4 linked regions of the Saccharomyces cerevisiae S288C genome follow. Each later gene encodes a partner of the first gene's protein in a complex. Each region holds a gene or a part of one and is shown on either strand. Other genes may lie near its edges.

Region 1 (3,181 bases):
AAGCTTTGGTCTTAACACTCAACAACAGAATGGACTTATCTTCTGCTGTGTTTGAAATGTGGTAGGTGGTATAGTCGAAATCGGAAACAATTCTGTCCATGGTCAACGGCGAACCCTTGCGAAGTGCCTCTATCGCTTCATTCAGTGTCTTTTGGATGAGAAGGTTTTGTGGTTGTAAGTGTAGCATTGCGGATTACCGTTTTGAGGCAAGAAGATTGCTAGTCTTGTATCTACACTAGTTCCTTTGAACGCTAGTTAGCCCCTATGCTTATAGTATTTCTTGTCAATACAAGCGTCTGAAAATTCAGATCGCTTTATACGAGTAAGTATGCCAAATACACCAAATATACCAAAGCATTGATTGCGTATACTGAGAATACATATATATATATATATATATATATATGTATGGTCATTGCTATTTACAAAAGGTTGTATGGAGTGGGAATATTAGAGAAAAGTAGTCGAGAGGCCAAAGAAAACTTAGAGCGTACTGCGCATCACGATTTACTTGGCTTCTTGGCTCCATATTTCGACCTCGAAGAAATCCTGTTTACCACACCACTCAGGTCACCAGCACCTCTGATAACATGGTACTTCACACCAGGCAAGTCCTGACAACGCCCACCTCTGACATATACAATCGAATGCTCTTGAGCATCGTGGCCCTCACCCGGTATATATGCAGATACCACGTTCCCGTTAGTCAAACGGACCCTGCACGCCTTTCTCTGCGCAGAATTCGGCTTCTTGGGCTTTAAAACCATTACACGTAATACGACACCCTTCCGCTGGGGACACTGATCCAGTTGTGGAGCTGTACTTATCTTCTTGCGTCTTGGAGGCCCGGAGCCTCTTTTAATCTGATTCAATGTCGCTTGCATTGTCGTAGTGGAGGAAAACAATCTCTGCGCCTGTCTCAAGGGCGTACACCATGTGTTGGACATAAACCTCGACAACATGGCTCTTGTTGGCCTGCTTCAATTCTGGTGTACCTGTAAGTTCTCCGTCTTTTCCCTGGTTATATGCGTTTTTTCTCCCCAAATCGTTTTGTCGCTCGGGTAAGACTGAAATGCTTTTAAAAGCACTATTACTGTTTATTATGCTATATATATATATATATACAGCCCGAGTCTGGCTTGATCTTATTTACATGATATATCATCTAGAAATCTATATACACTAGATCCCTCATTTGTTCTTGGTTTGAGTATAGCTGAAACGCTTCCTGGTAGGTGCGAACTCGCCCAGTTTGTGGCCCACCATATCTTCTGATATTTCAATAGGTACGTACTCCTTACCATTGTGTATTTGAAATTTCAGTCCCACGAACTGAGGAAGGATGGTGGCGGCCCTTGCGTTTGTTCTTATTGGAGTGCCCTTAGTCATGGCCTCCCTTATGGGTAATGGCACGATGTTGGGGCCCTTCCATACGGACCGCGATAAAAGTCTAGCTGCCGGTTGCATTTTATTTTTGGTGGACACTACTTCTGCCGATGCTGTACTGCTCTTGCAATGAACCTCACCGTTTTAAGTCATGGTTAGATTCTTACTAGGCGCTTCCAATTGCCATTTCTTGCTCAGCCATAACCGTGAATAGTGATCCAAACGCTAATGCCGGGTGATGCTTAAAATTTGAAAAATTATTGCAGATTTGTATTATATAGAAAGCATAACTGGCGATGAGATGTGCTCGAAACTGGACACCTTTACCATTGGTGACCGGTAGTGACAATGTTTGCATCGAGATTTGACCCTAGCCAATTGACTGCTCCTGCAGCTAGCGCACCAGAAGGAATCGTCGGAACTACTCCCCCGGCCATTGTGCCTTTAAAGAGGCAGGCTACTGAATCTGATAATGAAGAATATGGCTCTCACCAAGATTCTGATGAGAGTTCCAACTCTAGTTCAGAGGAAGACGAAGACCGTATGCAAGTAGATTATGGGGCTAGTGAAGAGGATTCGAGTGAAGTGGAAGAGGAAGAGAGTAAGCCAAGTACTCACAGCACAGTGCTATCGAGATTCAAGCAAACAGTATCATTGCAAGAAAGGCTAGGTGCATCTGATATTGCTGAGAGTAAGGAAGACGAAGGTATTGAAGACGAGGCGGCCTCAACTCACCAACTAAAACAGATTCCTCAACCTGAATTCGTCAAAAACCCAATGAATTTGAATACAAATTCATTACAGTTCAAATCTACGGGTTGGTTAAATACTGAGAAGATATATTATGATAATTCCTTGATCAAACCGTTCTCGGATTACGCAAATGAATTAGAAGCAAAACTACTGCAGAATATTTGCAAGAATTTCTCTACAAACACTTTTCCCATCCAATCGATCATCCTAGACTCCATATTACCGGTATTGAACTTCACGTTGAACGTATCTAAGAGAAACTTCACCAGAAGAATCGGTGATATTCTTGTAAATGCTGCTACCGGTTCAGGTAAAACTTTGGCTTACTCCATTCCTATTGTTCAAACCCTCTTCAAGAGACAAATTAACAGACTGCGTTGTATAATCATCGTCCCCACAAAACTATTGATAAACCAAGTTTATACTACGTTGACAAAGCTAACTCAAGGGACGTCGCTTATTGTGAGCATTGCCAAATTAGAAAATTCTTTGAAGGACGAACACAAAAAATTATCAAATTTGGAACCAGATATCTTAATCACTACACCTGGTAGATTAGTAGATCATCTAAATATGAAATCGATAAATTTGAAAAACCTAAAGTTTTTGATTATCGATGAGGCTGATCGTCTTTTGAACCAGTCCTTCCAGGGCTGGTGTCCAAAACTAATGTCCCATTTGAAAACGGATAAATTAGATACACTTCCAGGGAACGTGATCAAAATGATCTTCAGTGCGACATTGACTACCAACACAGAAAAGTTAAACGGCTTGAACCTTTACAAACCAAAGTTGTTCCTGAAGCAAACCGATAAATTGTACCAGCTACCTAACAAATTGAATGAATTTAACATCAACATTCCCACGGCGAAAAGTGTTTACAAGCCATTGATATTGTTGTATTCAATATGCCAATTTATGGCACATTCCCCCATTGCTGCAAAGATTTTGATTTTCGTTAAATCAAATGAATCGTCTATCAGATTAAGCAAGTTACTACAACTTATCTGTGAATCTCGCTCACAATCCAGCGTATTGAAAA
Region 2 (5,487 bases), on another chromosome or scaffold:
CATCATTTGCCAGGGGAATGAAGCGATTAGTACTAGTCAATGCCTTTTCTCCAAACTGACCTTGTGGAGAAGCCTGTAGTTCAGACCCGCTCTGAGAATTGCTGCCATCTACGAAAGGACGAGGATACTCTTGCGTTTGTGTATGTTCCGCAGATGTCGGTACCAAGGGCTTGGACAGCAGGGCGTGGTCTGCCTCTGTCAAAGACCTATTTCCCATATTAATGATATAGTAGCAGTATTCAAGCAAGTACACGTGCGCAAGTTGTACCAGATAGTGACTGTCCAGCGTTACTTTCTCGCCTGCTCTGTATTACTCTTGTTGTCACTCCGCAATATCTCAAAGCCATTAATATGTACTAACTTGAATTTTTCATGCTCCCTTAAACGAAAATAACCCTACTGAGATTTTCACCTTTATAGGGTTATATGCTAAAATAAGTAGGTCTTATCATGCAACCTTTAGGGTCCAAGCCCTTAAATCCGACAGTCGGGCAAGCCCATTTTCCCAACGATTTTTCAACGGTTTTTTTGCCTGCAGGGCATCGGCAATTTGACAATACTCACGACCGATGGATGCAGCAATCAACGTAAAAACCTTACTTAGCCGGTTACTCATGTATATGTCAGACATATATACACACGCACACATATATATATACGTACATGTTGGCACCCTTCTGTTAATAGAATTTGATTTCTTTTCTAAAGGCATATCAGTATCATCAGTTGAAACAGTAAGGAGCTCCGCAAGCGCAATATTAACTTTACAAAAGTGATTCTGGTTCCTAACTTTTCTATTGTTTTCCATTTTCGTCATTCGTTTTGTTATTAGTCGCCTTAATTGAGTCAAGCAAGATAAAAGAAGAAAAAAAATGAGTATCACCACTACTAGAAGAAGAAACCAAGATAGTGTCTGCTGCAAGGCAACGAGAGCCTCCATTAAGGTGGAAGCTGTCTCAGGCCAGACAGTTTTTGAAAAGCAAAAACTGCTACACAATTTCGATGAGTTGCCAGAATGGCAAAAAGATAATGACAAAATTCTCACCGGGTACGTTCGTGAAACACTGTCATGGAAAAAGTGCTTATATTCTTTATTTTATTGGAACAACGAGACTGTGAACATTTATACACATTTGGTACCGGCTATCGTATACTTCGTGTTTGCCATTACGTTGACCAACTACTTTCTAATTCCCGTTTTCCCCTCCACTTCCTGGTCCGATTACACCGTTATAAACATTTTCTTGATGGGCGCTTTCTCATGTCTCATGTGCAGTAGCTGTTTCCACTGCATGAAGCAACACTCTGAAAAGCAAAGCAATTTCTGGAGCAAGCTCGACTACTTGGGGATTATCAGTTTGATTTCCTGTTCTATGATCCCTATAATATACTTTGGTTACTTCGACCACATATCCTACTTCAGTCTTTTCACGATTGTTACTTTAGTCCTGGCAACATTTTGTACAGTCTGTGTCCTCCACGACAAGTTTAACACTTCCACATTTCGTCCATTTAGGGCCATGTTTTTCATATTGTTTGGATTTAGTGGCTTACTCCCATTGACCACAGGGTTTTTCAAGTTCGGTATCCAAGGGGTTCTTAACAGAATAAAAGTCAGCTTTGTGTTTTGGGAAGCTCTCTTTTACATTTCAGGGGCTGTAATCTACGGGTTTAGGATTCCTGAAACTTTGGCTCCAGGGAAGTTCGATTTCTTCGGTAGCTCTCATCAAATATTTCATATTATGGTGGTTCTTGGTTCTGTATGCCACTTGAAAGCCATTATCGATTCTTACAAATTAATGCATTCTCATATCCACCCTTGATGGGCCTACAACTACTACAAAATCAAATAAATAACATTATATATCTAAGGTTAGAAAATAATTAAATGCAAAAAAAGTCTTTATTCCTTTTTAGATATTCGTCACATCATGCTTTTATCATAGATCGCATTTTGACAGGTACTTCGCTATATTAGCCTAATTAATTTTGGTCTTACTAAAGTGAGTAATGCCGAAAAATTAAACGTTTGAATAAGTGAACCTACTACAAAGGAAAGAGAGGAAGAGAAAAGGATAGGACTAAAAGACTTCCTTATATTTTTCGGTACGCTTGCGTTTCACTGAAGAGAATAAAAAGAACAAATTATATAAATTTAACACACTATGAGCACGAGAACAAAGGCCCTGAATGCATACAGGCATGGCTTAAGAGCAACCCGAATAGCTTTCCGGAATGATGCTGAAGTATTACTAGCCGCGAGAGCTAAAATGCGTTCAGGAATGTTATGTCCCCCAGATCCTAAACTCACCACAGAGGATCAGATTCAACATTTAGAGGATGTGGCTGTTTTTTTGAGACGAAACCTGGTTCAGGGCAAAAAGGTTGATGGCTCAAGTACTAAGGAGCCTAGGTACCATTTGAACATTCACAAAGACACCGAATTGGGTGACAATGAGACGATTGCAGACCCTACGGCAAGAGTGAAAACAAACTTAAAGGCAAGACCATTTAAATGCTCTGATAAAAAGCAATGATAATGCCTTGATTTTGTTTTATCTTCGAAGCTATATACATGTAAATACTTTTTTAGTACCTAGCAACTTTGCTAGGTGGCATATAAACTGATTTAGCACGATATATCGTTGCATTTGTTCTGTTTGTAGTATGTACATGTATACAGCTTGTTGTATTTGATGTGCTACTGAAACAGCGTAGTTGCTAGTGCTTTATCCCTTTTGACGGAAATGAACAAAGCTTTATAGCGGAATTAAACTTAACGAAACTGGAGAAAGCATAAAAGAGGAAAAGGGCAGCGGTAACTCATTAAATAATCTAGTTGGACGAGCCATAATAAGAGAAATAGACGGAGTAGAAAATGCGCTCCTCCATGTTTAGATGTGTGAGTCGCGCTCATTACAGCACAAGTGTCACAGAAGATTTCATAAATAGCATTCTAGCAAGGGCTCAAGAGGCAACAGCAAAAGCTTCCTCCAATGCTCTCAAATTGGACAAGATGAAGGAGGGTAGAATGCAAAATAAGAGGAGAAACGGGAATCAGAATAGGAATAGTATGAACAATAAAGAAAGCAGGGGTAGAGAGGGAAATCAAGGAGAAAGAAACATGAGACTGAAAAACCGTTCTAGTGATTCTGTTCGTGCTAACAAGCAGCAGTGGAATAAAGGTGCTAATACGTCTTTTGTAAAGAATCCTACTGGAAATACAGTAGTTATGCAGCCACAGTTCAAAAAGATGCAGAATGGCAAAAATAATTTGAAAGGAGATGCGAGAGTCGAAGATGATTTACTTGATGTCTTCAATTCGTCGATGGAGCAAAAACCTGTTAATTTCAATGGAACCCCCAAATCTAAAGCAAGGTTTCAAAAAAAGAGTCATATCTTAACAGCATCTAAAAGGAGAAAGGCTCCTCAACAGCAGCTACAGAAGGTTATCAAGAGACCTGTCAGTTCAGAATATGTACTAGAAGAGCCCACTCCTTTATCTTTGTTAGAATATACTCCTCAAGTTTTTCCAACAAAGGAATCCAGATTAGTCAACTTTACCTTAGATAGCTTGAAAAAATCCAATTACCCCATTTACAGATCGCCAAATTTGGGAATCCTCAAAGTACATGATTTCACCCTAAACACGCCAAACTTTGGTAAATATACACCAGGATCCTCCTTGATTTTTGCCAAAGAGCCTCAATTGCAGAATTTACTTATTGAAGAAGACCCAGAAGATTTTCATAGGCAAGTAACAGGAGAATATCAACTCTTAAAACCATATGTGAAAAAAGATTTTGAAAAACTGACGAAATCTAAAGATACTGTGAGTAAGCTCGTACAAAATAGTCAAGTTGTGAGGTTATCATTACAATCTGTTGTTATGGGCTCCGAGGAAAAGAAATTGGTATATGATGTTTGTTCTGGAATGAAACCAATTTCTGAATTACAACAGTAAATCAAACATCGTTATTTCATTCTTACATACCTGTAAATATCTAGTACGTATAAAATTTGAATTGTATGCCTGAACAGAAAAAGAATAGGTGGGCTCTTCTTATCCTTGACTATCAAAATTCCGGCTTAGTTCGTCAGAAATGGATATTTGATTTTTCAACAAACATTTCCGCAAATTAGATTCCTCCTTCTTTTCTTGATACTTAATAAGTACCTTTAAAAGCAATTCGGATATTGTTTGTACGGGAAATACGGAAGGTATAGTTTCGAGGATCTTTAATTGAATATCTGTATCATCTAAAAGTTCAAAATTTCTCTGTAGCAAATTAGTCACTAATTCAACTGAGTAATTCAAAGAAGATATGTCCAAGTATTGTTTCATCACCGCAACCAAGTTCTGCTTGCCTATGTATTTTTCTACACTTCTGAAATCATTAAATGACAAATATATTTTCAGCAATTCTTCGGAAGAAACCCAGTTTGTTAATTCATTGGGGAAAAATAACAAGGTCAATATGTGTTCTTTATCGATCTTGGAAATTTCGTCGAAGGTGAAATTAATAAACTCATCATCTTTTTCATTTTCCGATTTCAAGTTTTCACATTTTTCATAATATTTGGAAAAATTTTCGCACTGAAGACTATGCTTTAATTTGATATGAATAAAATTTGTTATATCTGTCTTATCATACGCGAAATCGTCTTTGTACTCTTTGATAAAATCTCCAAGAATGGACCATATGTTACTTTGGTTGATTATTTCTCGCAATTTCGCCAAATAATAGTTAAAGAGAAATTTGGAATCGTTGCTGTTTTGGACACCGAGTTGTTCTATGAATGATACCTTCAGGGATGTTTCTTCTGCGGGTATTTTGTTTAAAAAGTCGTTTTTATTAATACATGCCATGTCCAATATTTTAAGAACCTTTTTGATGGCGCATTCCTCAGTATTTTCGTCGCCTTGTTTAAGAGTGAGGAGAAGATCATCGGCTATTCTTTCTTTGATATAATCCTCAGGAAGTTTTTTGAGATTTTCTTCAATGAATGAAACTAGTGAAATGTAATCCCCAGCTTCCCTCAAAAGATTTAGTGCTTTAAGATATTCCCCTTTTTCTTTATATATCTCAATTAGTAACTCTATCCTAGGAAGTTTATCATCATGTAAATTAATCTCTCTGATAATTTCGTCGTAACTTTCGCGTTCAAACATATCAACAGTTATAGTTTCCTTTTTTTCCAATCTTAATTTGAATAAAGTTATATCAATAGTTTTCATTATATCATCAAAGTCATTCGTTAAGAGTCCAGTTTTATTCTTTTTCTTTAGTTCATTCTTCATCATCAGAAGCATTTTTAGAATATTCTCGCATTTGTTAGTTAGCTTCAAGCTTTTCAACCTTTCAACTATATTTATTAACCCATGGAAGCACCAGATCTCGCTATAGACTTTCCAGCCAAACATATAAAATAATATTCTGATGTCAACTTTGTCAGAAAAGTCACACCACTTTTTCATTACCTCAT
Region 3 (4,977 bases), on another chromosome or scaffold:
CCATAGTATCTTTTCTGCAAGAATAGCATACCAATTCCGCCTGATAAAAAATTCCTCAGCTGGAACGCTATTACTAGAGTTTTCAAAATTTCCGTGATACAAATACTTACCTCCTTTATTGATCAGCCTCCTGTAAATTAAGTCAACCAATCTTTTAAAGGTAAAATTATAGCAAAATGTAGCCAAGTTAGAATACAAAATTATTTTAGGTAAACCTATACCCTTGTAATATTTGTTTCCAGCAGTTTTTACAATACTGAGATACACCCACTTAAAGAGTATTGCATTAGCACTGACGTTAGAAATGTTGCTAAGATAATGTATGAACCCATATATTATGATCGAGGAGGTTAAAGGAATGCTTAATAAGCCACGTTCAGTTTGCGCATATACGTCCAATGCCTTTGTAGTGCTGATGTTTAACATATTTCGTAGAACATTCTCAGGGAAAAGGCAGCGTAGTTGCCATAATCCAATGTCAAAACTTGTCTTTTCAGGGTTTAAAAGAAATAAACTAGTTATCCCTAATGGTATCACGTATCGTGTAATTTTTTGCCACTGATAAAACAGGGATAGTACAGAAGACTGGATGGTTACTGTAGGTCTTTTTATGAAATTTGTTTTCTTGCATTGAGGACATTCGCCAAATTTCACTAACACATAAGGTGGATGATTATCCCGTTTGGTATAAAGAGACATTAGATTGAACACGTAGTCATTTTGAAACGGTACTGATTTTTGCCCCCAAATGGGACGAGTTTCCCATATTTCTGTAAGAGAGAAAGTCGTCATAAAATCATGGTGCCCATCAACGAGACATTTTAAACAGGTGATTATAGGTAAATCAGCATCCTTTGGTAGGTCCACTGTGTTCGGAAGAAAAAGTTCAACATGCATTTGATAGAGCCATCTTATATAGCAGCGTTTATGAATTTGTAAGTTGCAACCGCACGTGTGCTGTAGCCATGTAGAGTCATATGTGGATTCTTCCAAACATATCCAGCATATGCATCTTTTTTTTATGAGAGATAAAAAAAAATGAGGTGGGGTCATATAAAACTTGGACTATTTCCTTGGAATTTTCTTGTTTGTAAAATCAGAGCAGAGCTCTTTTATTTACTTTTGTTTTTGACGATGGGGACGAGCGATGTACTCACATCTTCGATATCACTTGCCTGAAAATATATAAATGCGTTAAACGATAGAAAATCAAAAACATCGTTCTTTTCACTAGAATATTTTAAAGTCAAAACATAACACTTTACTATTTACGTAACGAAGTCTTGTAGTTGTATATATTTACAGAGTGTAGTGCTTTAGTTGAGAAAATATGACACTCGGCTTTCCTCTTTCTTTTATTTACTGGCTTGGTTGTTGCATATCCATCATGACGTGCTTTCTTAACAAATTTTTTTTGATGTTTTTTTTCAAGGTCAAAGGATCCTCAACACCATGATCCTTCAAAAATTGATCACATTTTAGATCATTCGACAACAATTCGGATAATCGCGTTTGAATACGATCAATGAGACTTCTTTGTTTCTCCAAATTAACCTCCAATCCAGAGATGTCTAACTGTAAAAGTTGCCTCACTGTTTCTTGTGAAAAATCTTGAATGCCGTACCTTTGTTTAATCTCCAATAACTCTTTCGGCGTTGACCCGCTAGATAAAGCATCTTGGATGGTCCTAATATCACGTAAAAGGGTTGTTTTTTCATTTAGTTTATTCTCCCTCACTGATCTTTTATCCAAAAATTCTTTTGCCTTTTGGGCTTCTTCTTTTGCAACGCTTAACTGAGCTTCTGATTCGTATAATGCAAATTGTTGACCCTTGTTTCTAATAATTTCTGCAATGGCAAAAAACTTCCTCTTTGAAAGCGGCCTCGTCGCTTCTATCCTTACTAAATCACCCTCCCTTGATATTTCACCTTCATCATGCACTAAATAATCTCTTCTATGAAATAACTCCTTGTTGATTTTCTTATTAAAGACTTTTGTTTCTACACGTACTTTAACCGTCTTTTGCATCTTCCCTTGGGAGACGACCAAGCCTAAAAAATTTTGGCGAGCCATTACAGTTTAACTGATCTTGATTTGACTTTTGAAATCTCTAACCCGAATTCAACTCCCTGAGTTTACTTCTGTTTGGCCTTATTTGTGGATTTCCTCTAACAGTTTGATGCTCGCATTGGTTTGGCACAATCCCAAATTGCTTCAGAATTCTAATCTTATGAAATAACAATCATGTTACCCGGTTGAATCGTTACCCGACATCTCTGACTCTTCTTGAGGTATAGACTCCTCCTTTTCGGAGTCATGACTCTCAGAGGAGTCATCGAAGTCAGCATTGAGCTGTGAAGGACCTTGATAAGCTAGTCGAAAGATCTCCAACGAATATAAATGGATGTATATATAGCAGGCTCGAGTGGCACAATTTTCTTCTCTTCAAGTTCCAGTGAATTAGTCTTTCTCGTGTGTACCAATCTTACTGTATTGATTGCTGCGCGATCTAACCATCAACTAACCACAGTTTATTGGAAAAACGTTTCCTAATACCAGGAAGATAACATGCTTAGGACAAGAGTGACTGCTCTCCTTTGTAGGGCTACTGTCAGGTCAAGCACCAATTATGTTTCATTAGCGAGGACTAGATCATTCCATTCTCAATCTATTTTGCTCAAAACAGCCGCTACAGACATAACGTCTACACAGTACAGCAGGATTTTCAATCCTGACTTGAAAAACATTGATAGACCGCTAGATACTTTTGCTAGACGTCATTTAGGTCCTTCTCCTAGCGACGTTAAGAAAATGTTAAAAACAATGGGTTATAGCGATTTAAACGCATTTATAGAAGAGCTCGTTCCTCCCAATATTTTGAAGAGAAGACCCTTGAAACTAGAAGCTCCTAGTAAGGGATTCTGTGAACAAGAAATGCTTCAACATCTAGAAAAGATTGCCAATAAGAACCACTATAAAGTTAAAAATTTCATAGGTAAGGGTTACTACGGTACGATTTTACCACCGGTTATACAAAGAAACCTGCTAGAAAGTCCAGAATGGTATACTTCTTATACGCCCTATCAACCCGAAATTTCTCAAGGTAGGCTAGAAGCGCTATTAAACTTTCAAACGGTTGTTTCAGATTTGACTGGTTTGCCTGTGGCGAACGCCTCATTGTTGGATGAGGGTACAGCGGCTGGAGAAGCTATGCTCTTGTCATTCAATATTTCCAGAAAAAAGAAACTAAAATACGTAATAGATAAAAAATTACACCAGCAAACAAAGAGTGTCCTTCACACCAGAGCCAAGCCGTTCAATATTGAAATTATTGAAGTTGACTGTTCGGATATCAAGAAAGCTGTGGATGTTTTAAAGAACCCCGACGTATCTGGTTGTTTGGTTCAATATCCAGCGACAGATGGTTCAATCTTACCGCCTGACTCGATGAAACAGTTATCTGATGCGTTACACTCTCACAAGTCTTTGCTCTCTGTGGCCTCAGATTTAATGGCTTTGACACTTCTAAAACCACCTGCTCATTACGGTGCTGATATCGTCCTGGGTTCCTCTCAACGATTTGGTGTCCCAATGGGTTATGGTGGTCCTCATGCTGCTTTTTTCGCTGTTATTGATAAATTAAACAGAAAAATTCCAGGTAGAATTGTCGGTATCTCTAAAGACCGCTTAGGCAAGACGGCCTTGCGGTTGGCCCTCCAAACAAGAGAACAACATATCAAGCGTGATAAGGCAACTTCAAATATATGTACCGCTCAAGCTTTACTGGCTAATGTTGCTTCGAGCTACTGTGTTTATCACGGTCCTAAGGGCCTACAGAATATTTCCAGGAGGATATTTAGCTTAACATCAATATTGGCAAATGCCATCGAAAATGACAGTTGCCCTCACGAACTAATTAATAAAACATGGTTTGATACTTTGACTATAAAGTTAGGTAATGGCATATCCTCCGAGCAGTTATTGGACAAGGCCTTGAAAGAATTTAATATCAATTTGTTTGCCGTGGACACCACCACTATTTCCTTGGCTCTTGATGAAACAACTACAAAAGCTGATGTTGAAAATCTACTAAAAGTGTTTGACATTGAAAATTCTTCGCAGTTTCTTTCTGAGGACTATTCTAACAGTTTCCCAAGGGAATTTCAGCGTACTGATGAAATATTGAGGAACGAAGTCTTTCACATGCACCATAGCGAAACAGCAATGTTGAGATATTTACATAGGTTGCAATCTCGTGATTTATCTCTTGCTAATTCTATGATTCCTTTAGGTTCCTGTACTATGAAATTGAACAGTACTGTTGAAATGATGCCAATCACTTGGCCCCAATTTTCGAATATCCATCCGTTCCAGCCATCAAACCAAGTCCAAGGATACAAGGAACTAATTACTTCGTTGGAGAAAGATTTATGCAGCATTACAGGTTTCGATGGTATTTCTTTACAACCAAATTCAGGTGCTCAAGGTGAATATACTGGTCTGAGAGTAATCAGATCCTACCTGGAAAGCAAAGGTGAAAATCATCGTAACGTGTGTTTAATCCCTGTATCCGCTCATGGTACAAATCCGGCTTCTGCCGCTATGGCGGGTTTAAAAGTTGTTCCTGTCAACTGTTTGCAGGATGGCTCATTAGATCTGGTTGACTTAAAGAATAAGGCTGAACAACATTCTAAAGAACTAGCCGCCGTAATGATCACCTATCCTTCCACTTACGGTTTATTTGAACCAGGCATCCAACATGCTATTGATATCGTACATTCTTTTGGTGGACAAGTCTATTTGGATGGTGCTAATATGAATGCGCAGGTTGGGCTAACTTCACCCGGAGATCTTGGTGCAGATGTTTGCCACTTGAATTTACATAAGACATTTTCCATTCCTCATGGTGGTGGTGGTCCAGCTGGAGCTCCCATTTGCGTCAAATCTCATTTAATACCCCATTTACCTAAACATGAC
Region 4 (5,750 bases), on another chromosome or scaffold:
CCATTCCAATAAACGGTAAACTCACCCATTTATGATTGGGACAAGAGCAAAAAAAAAGGAAATTGGGAAAAAAAAAGAGAAAGAAAGCAACAGAATAAAGGGAACTTGATAAAACTGAAGTACCGTGGGTCAAGTAGCGTGAAAGAGTCAATTCATCGACTAATGGATGCATAAAACGTATGACTGTATAGTACTGGAGTGAAAACGAAGAGATAAAGAAAGGAAAAAGGGAGATTAATAAAAAGAAAAAAATTAAAGGAGTTCTATATTTGGATTAGTCTTTTATTCTTTCTGCTTACCACCATGAAGCGTTGCTATTTCCGTAACCGTTTTTCTCATTATCATTTCTAAACCCACCTCCAATCGAACCCCAATTTGATGTTCCAGTATTCCTTGGCCTCGTGCTCCCAAATGAGCCATTTCCACCATGTTTACGGTAGTCTCTTGAACCGTTATTACGACTATTGAAAAAACCTCCTCCTCCCCTAGTTCTTCCACCTCTTGAATTCTGTCTTGACAGGTCACTTAAAAACGTGGGAACTTCTTGATTCGCTTCATTTAAAATTTCCATCAAACCCTTCACAATATTCTGATTATTACTATTGAAGAATGAAGTAGCCACGCCTGTGTTACCAGCACGGCCTGTTCTACCAATTCTGTGAACGTAGTCATCGATGTCGGAGGGCAAATCATAATTAATGACATGTGTGACATTCGGTATATCCAAACCTCTCGCTGCTACAGCTGTTGCGACCAGGATATCAGCTACGTTAGCTTTGAAAGCAGATAAGGCACGTTCACGTTCAGCCTGTGTGCGGTCACCATGTATGGCTGTAGCTTTGAAATTTTGCATGATCAAAAAATCTGTGAGTTGATCCGCCATTCTTTTCGTTTCAACAAAAATCAATGTCAATCCCTTATGCTCTGCAGACAGTAAATCTAACAACGCAGACTTTTTGTCCATGTCATCGACATATAATATTCTTTGCGTGATATTTTCTGAGGTGGAACCGACTCTTCCTACTGATAAAAAAATATAATTATCTAAGAAATCGCGTGCCAAATGCTGGATATCTACTGGGAATGTGGCGGAAAACATCAAGGTCTGTCTATTTTCCACAGAGGGCATATCACATTCTTCAACTATATGGCGAATTTGGGGTTCGAATCCCATATCTAGCATTCTATCAGCCTCATCCAATACCAGGTATTTGATATTAGCCAAAGAAACTTTTCCGCGTTCTAATAAGTCATTCAGCCGCCCTGGTGTAGCCACCAATAAGTCACAGCCGCGGTCAACCTCCCTCATCTGGTTACCGATTGGCGCGCCACCATAAACAACGCATGGCCTAACCCAAGATCTATACGTAAATTTTCTTGCTTCTTCAAAAATTTGGGTAGCCAATTCTCTAGTTGGTGCAAGTACTAAAGCAGATGGATATCCCTTTCTAGAATAAAAGCTCTGTGCTTTCTCGGGTACTGGAGAGGGCCCAGACCTGAATAGCTCCGTGAAGAGCGGAAACAAAAACCCACCTGTCTTACCTGAGCCCGTTTGTGCGCATGCCATCAAATCCCTACCTTTGGTAACTATTGGAATAGAATATTTTTGTACTGGAGTAGGTTTGGTGAAACTAGCAAGTTTGATATTTTCCATTAACAGCTCATCCAGAGGGGGAGAACTAAAATCTAGTATAGGTTCAGGAACATCTTTTCCAGATGCATCTACGGGAATATTATCGTAATTATCAAACTTTATACCAGATGAATGGTAATCGGGATCGTCGTGTACACCAAACAGTTCGGCTTCTAATTTCGCGTTCTTAGGCCCCGGTATATGCTTGCCATTTACCCATCTATTTCCAGATGATTTGTAATTTGAGCTGCCTCCGCGGTTATAGTTCGCACTCGTCCCTCCATTTCTTTCCTTAGAAAAGCCAAAAAACCCGCCATTGTTCCCAGTTTGCCTTCCAGCACGTCTGAAAAAATCACCACCCGTAACCTTATCTTCCTGTTTTGGGGTACTTCTTTCGAATGATGGTTTTCCTCTACTTCTCAAGTGCGGTGGGACATAAGATGATTTGCCGCCACCACCACCATTCTCTTTGTTGTTGATGCTTAAATTAGATACCTTCTGTGGCAAGTCTGCCATTTTTTCTTGTAATACTTTCACTCAAAGGGGTTTTTCTTAAAATATCCTTTAACTGACACTACCGATATCTTTTATAATCATGAATAATCCTTGTTATAAAATAAAGGCATTACTTCAGAGATGACCTTAAGTAACCTTCCCTTAAAATTGTTAAAGAACTCGCGGGGTAATATTTACGTTGACAGTGATATTTGTTTTGAGAAATCAAAGAATGAAGAACTTAGATGTAGAGTTAAAGGAGCAATACGAATAGGTGCCGTGATGAAGAAAAAAAATCATACAGACATTTGCTACAACCCTTGGTGAGACTGTTTCGATCATTTTTCTTTTTCTTTTTCTTTATTTTAGAAAAAATTGAACGAAATGACATTGGCAGAGTTGCTTGGACGGTCGAGAATAGCTCAAGTAGCTAACAATCATAAACCATTGACATACACTGGCAAAAAATTTCATCCAACACATCAAATCATCGAAACTAAGCCATCGACACTATACAGACAAGAATGGGGGTTGAAATCCGCTATTCCTTCGAAAATTAAATCTCGATATTTGGTGTACAACGATTTGGATACGTTGGAAAGAATTACCACATTCGAACCTAGAGGCGGTACGCAATGGAATAGGCTAAGATTTCAAGAAATGGGAGTACCAATTGTGTCTAATATAGGCAGACAAAATCCATTTTTCAAGTACATATCTCGTCCTGAGGATGAGTCTCATGCTAAATTGTCCTTATTCAAAGAAATGAAAGGAGATACAGATATTTCGCCTGCTGCTATGAAGAAGCGTTTGAAGAAGATAACAGCACTAATTAGATCGTTTCAAGATGAATTTAAAGAGTGGCTGGTGGAAAATCATCCGGATGAATTGAAATTGAATTCTAATAAGCTGGAAGACTATGTAGTGAAGTTTCTAAACAAAAAGTTGGAAACAAAAACGAATAAAAAATTTAACACTGAAATCATTGGTACAGGTGGATTATCATACAGCTTGCCAGGAAAGCTAAAAAACTCACCAAATGGTGTCATTCAAAGGACTGTAGTACCCGGTAGAATCTTGAACGTTGTTAAGGAGAACAACGACAATAAATGGCTGGCAGCTATTGGTGGGTTTGTGGCCGATGTGGTATTTTTCCAATCACCACCTAGTTCCTTTAACTCCATGGGAGATTTCATCAGAATGAAAACGTTCTTGTTCGAGATCTTGGAGGCATCTATGGAGAAAAATGGTTCTGTTTCGATGCACGCTAGATTACTCGAACCACAAAATGACAAGACCAGAGAATTTTTCAATAAGAGACCAATTTATAAACCATTGACCTCTAGAAGGGCACGTCGACCATCAGTGGGAAACATTCAAGAGGCCAATAACCTTTTGAATATAATCAAGGGAAATTGAGAAGAGAAAAAAAAAATGTGAACAATCAATGTATATTCAGAGTTCTGTAAATAAATAAAGAAAATAAAGTTTACATATTACTAAGGATTTTTGTCGCCTATTTTTACTATTTTTCAGGTGAAATGAAACGTTTTATATCACATTTTGCTATGATAACAAAGTTATTATGATTTTTATGTAGCCTATATTATTGACGCGTTGTTATAGCATTCTATGAATTTGCCTGTCATTTTCCACTTCAGAAAGGTCATCTAATTGCTCCCACCAGTTGAATAAGTAATTCTCGCAAATAATCTTAAACCAAGGCGTAAACTTGTAACTTGGGTCAGCAAACATAGTTTTCAAATCATTTGGTGAAACCCATTTGAAGTCTCTAACTTCATTGACGTTTGGGTTGACAGTCAAGTTTTCTTTAGCGTTGATCTTATAAAATAGGATGTAATCAATTTCATGTTCACCCCATGGTTCATTGCTTGGTGCCATGTAATGGATTCTGTTTAAAAAGTGAAACTTACCCCTTGTCTTAGTTTCATCTTCTGGAATACCTAATTCATGATCTAGTTTTCTCACCGCCGCAGTAATAGCGCCCTTAATCTTATCGTCTAGCTTACCCTTCAAACCTAATTCGTCATCAATACATAGTGGATGAGAGCAGCATGTGTTAGTCCAAAGATCAGGGAAAGTTATTTTTTCAGTGGCTCTTTGTTGTAAAAGTAATTCACCTTGTTCATTGAAAATAAAGACGGAGAATGCACGATGTAGTAAACCCTTTTCAATATTTTCCATTAAATGACAAACTTTCTTGGTACCGGCACCAATAGCATTATCGTCCCAATCCAAAACAATACAATTTTCATTCATTAACTTAATTTGCTCCTCATCATGACCAGAAAAACATGTTTCTCCGCTTTCGTCATTTGACGTCTCACTAGATCGGGTATTAGGTCTTTGTTGTAATGGAATAATTTCAGGAAACTCTTCCAAAATGTCTTCAGGTGTTTGGTTTTGCACTAATTTGGCGTAACTAGATACTGCACCATGGGGCATACTATTGTTGTCGGCAGTCATTGAGGTGTAATGAATTTTTGGCTTATTTTTACTCTTCCTGTATTCCAAATACGAATACTCTAATATTGAATTAAGTGGGATATACGCCTTCTTGTCACTAGAAAACTGTTTCCTGTTAAATAGATAAAAATGAATAAATAAATATAAATGGAGTTAAGACCGAAAAAGAAAGGCAACCCCCATCGACAAGAAAAGAGTTATGAATAATCATGTTTCTTAATAACAATTAAAGGGAAAAGAATCGGCTGGGCATCGTCATTGCGAAACTGTTGACTGGAAAAATTTCAATCACAATTAAGTTTTGTCCATTTCGTTCCAGCAAGAACGGAAACTTTTACCGATAGCAGCGGAAAAAAAGAAAAAAGAAAAAAAAAAGAAATTAATATAGGCAAAATAGCCGCATGAAGCCCTTAATAACCTATACTATTCTGTGACTGTTATTTATTTACCCTCGTAATATTAAAAATGTCCTATACAATTTCTGTAATAAAACCTAATTTTTTTAGGACCCTTGAGTGTTACCCTGCTCATGTTTTTATTTTTGTTTTAGAGAAATGTAAACAACAGTTTGGGAAAGTTTCAAGAATTGTAAACAACTAATCAAGGGATAATACTATTTTACTCTTTCCTTTAAACATGAAGAACTATTTTTTGTTTACGTTTTTTTCTGAATTGAACAATAAGATCTTGTTAATTTTTTTATCGCTTGATCTATTATCAGATCTTCTCTTTTGAAAAACTAGTCCTTTTCCAAATTACAAACTTTCTTTTCGTGTGGAGTTGATCAGTTCAGTTTCTCCAATACTTCTTAAGTCACTGAAAATATAACGAAAAAAAGGGCTCTGGAAGTAAACAGAGAAATTCGACGATATAATATGTCTTCCAAGCATTCAGATCCATTGGAGAGATTTTATAAGCAATTTCAAGCATTTGTTCAAAATAACCCTAATGTCATATCGGCAGCTCGAGCTGCCGCACAAATACCGGAATCTGCAAAAGCTGTTGTAGTACTATCCCCATATTCTTTACAGCATGTGTTCCCGAGAGAATGGGTAACAAAATCGTATAGGAAAACTATAGTCGAACGACCAGAAAGATTATTAGCAAGCTCGATGGGTATATCAGCTGCGATTAC

Evidence for each region.
Region 2: MRPS12 (region 1) and RSM28 share a complex: the UniProt entries of both Saccharomyces cerevisiae proteins name them as parts of the mitochondrial small ribosomal subunit.
Region 3: MRPS12 (region 1) and MRPS17 share a complex: the UniProt entries of both Saccharomyces cerevisiae proteins name them as parts of the mitochondrial small ribosomal subunit.
Region 4: MRPS12 (region 1) and MRP51 share a complex: the UniProt entries of both Saccharomyces cerevisiae proteins name them as parts of the mitochondrial small ribosomal subunit.

The regions. Positions count from the first base shown.
Region 1 is NC_001146.8:693,861-697,041, forward strand, and holds MRPS12 (mitochondrial 37S ribosomal protein uS12m MRPS12), read right to left. Parts: upstream 963-3,181; coding exon 501-962; downstream 1-500. Other genes in the region: ARC35 (Arc35p), read right to left, coding at 1-187; mitochondrial 37S ribosomal protein uS19m RSM19, read right to left, coding at 1,192-1,467; putative ATP-dependent RNA helicase DBP6, read left to right, coding at 1,735-3,181. UniProt on the Saccharomyces cerevisiae protein: Component of the mitochondrial ribosome (mitoribosome), a dedicated translation machinery responsible for the synthesis of mitochondrial genome-encoded proteins, including at least some of the essential transmembrane subunits of the mitochondrial respiratory chain.
Region 2 is NC_001136.10:1,434,052-1,439,538, forward strand, and holds RSM28 (mitochondrial 37S ribosomal protein mS46 RSM28), read left to right. Parts: upstream 1-2,878; coding exon 2,879-3,964; downstream 3,965-5,487. Other genes in the region: serine/threonine protein kinase PKH1, read right to left, coding at 1-217; IZH1 (PAQR-type receptor), read left to right, coding at 873-1,823; MZM1 (Mzm1p), read left to right, coding at 2,166-2,537; CORVET complex subunit VPS3, read right to left, coding at 4,064-5,487. UniProt on the Saccharomyces cerevisiae protein: Component of the mitochondrial ribosome (mitoribosome), a dedicated translation machinery responsible for the synthesis of mitochondrial genome-encoded proteins, including at least some of the essential transmembrane subunits of the mitochondrial respiratory chain.
Region 3 is NC_001145.3:634,932-639,908, forward strand, and holds MRPS17 (mitochondrial 37S ribosomal protein uS17m MRPS17), read right to left. Parts: upstream 2,074-4,977; coding exon 1,360-2,073; downstream 1-1,359. Other genes in the region: YMR187C (uncharacterized protein), read right to left, coding at 1-1,053; GCV2 (glycine decarboxylase subunit P), read left to right, coding at 2,569-4,977. UniProt on the Saccharomyces cerevisiae protein: Component of the mitochondrial ribosome (mitoribosome), a dedicated translation machinery responsible for the synthesis of mitochondrial genome-encoded proteins, including at least some of the essential transmembrane subunits of the mitochondrial respiratory chain.
Region 4 is NC_001148.4:324,116-329,865, forward strand, and holds MRP51 (mitochondrial 37S ribosomal protein bS1m MRP51), read left to right. Parts: upstream 1-2,512; coding exon 2,513-3,547; downstream 3,548-5,750. Other genes in the region: YPL119C-A (uncharacterized protein), read right to left, coding at 1-172; putative DEAD-box ATP-dependent RNA helicase DBP1, read right to left, coding at 296-2,149; isopentenyl-diphosphate delta-isomerase IDI1, read right to left, coding at 3,749-4,615; HOS3 (histone deacetylase), read left to right, coding at 5,491-5,750. UniProt on the Saccharomyces cerevisiae protein: Component of the mitochondrial ribosome (mitoribosome), a dedicated translation machinery responsible for the synthesis of mitochondrial genome-encoded proteins, including at least some of the essential transmembrane subunits of the mitochondrial respiratory chain.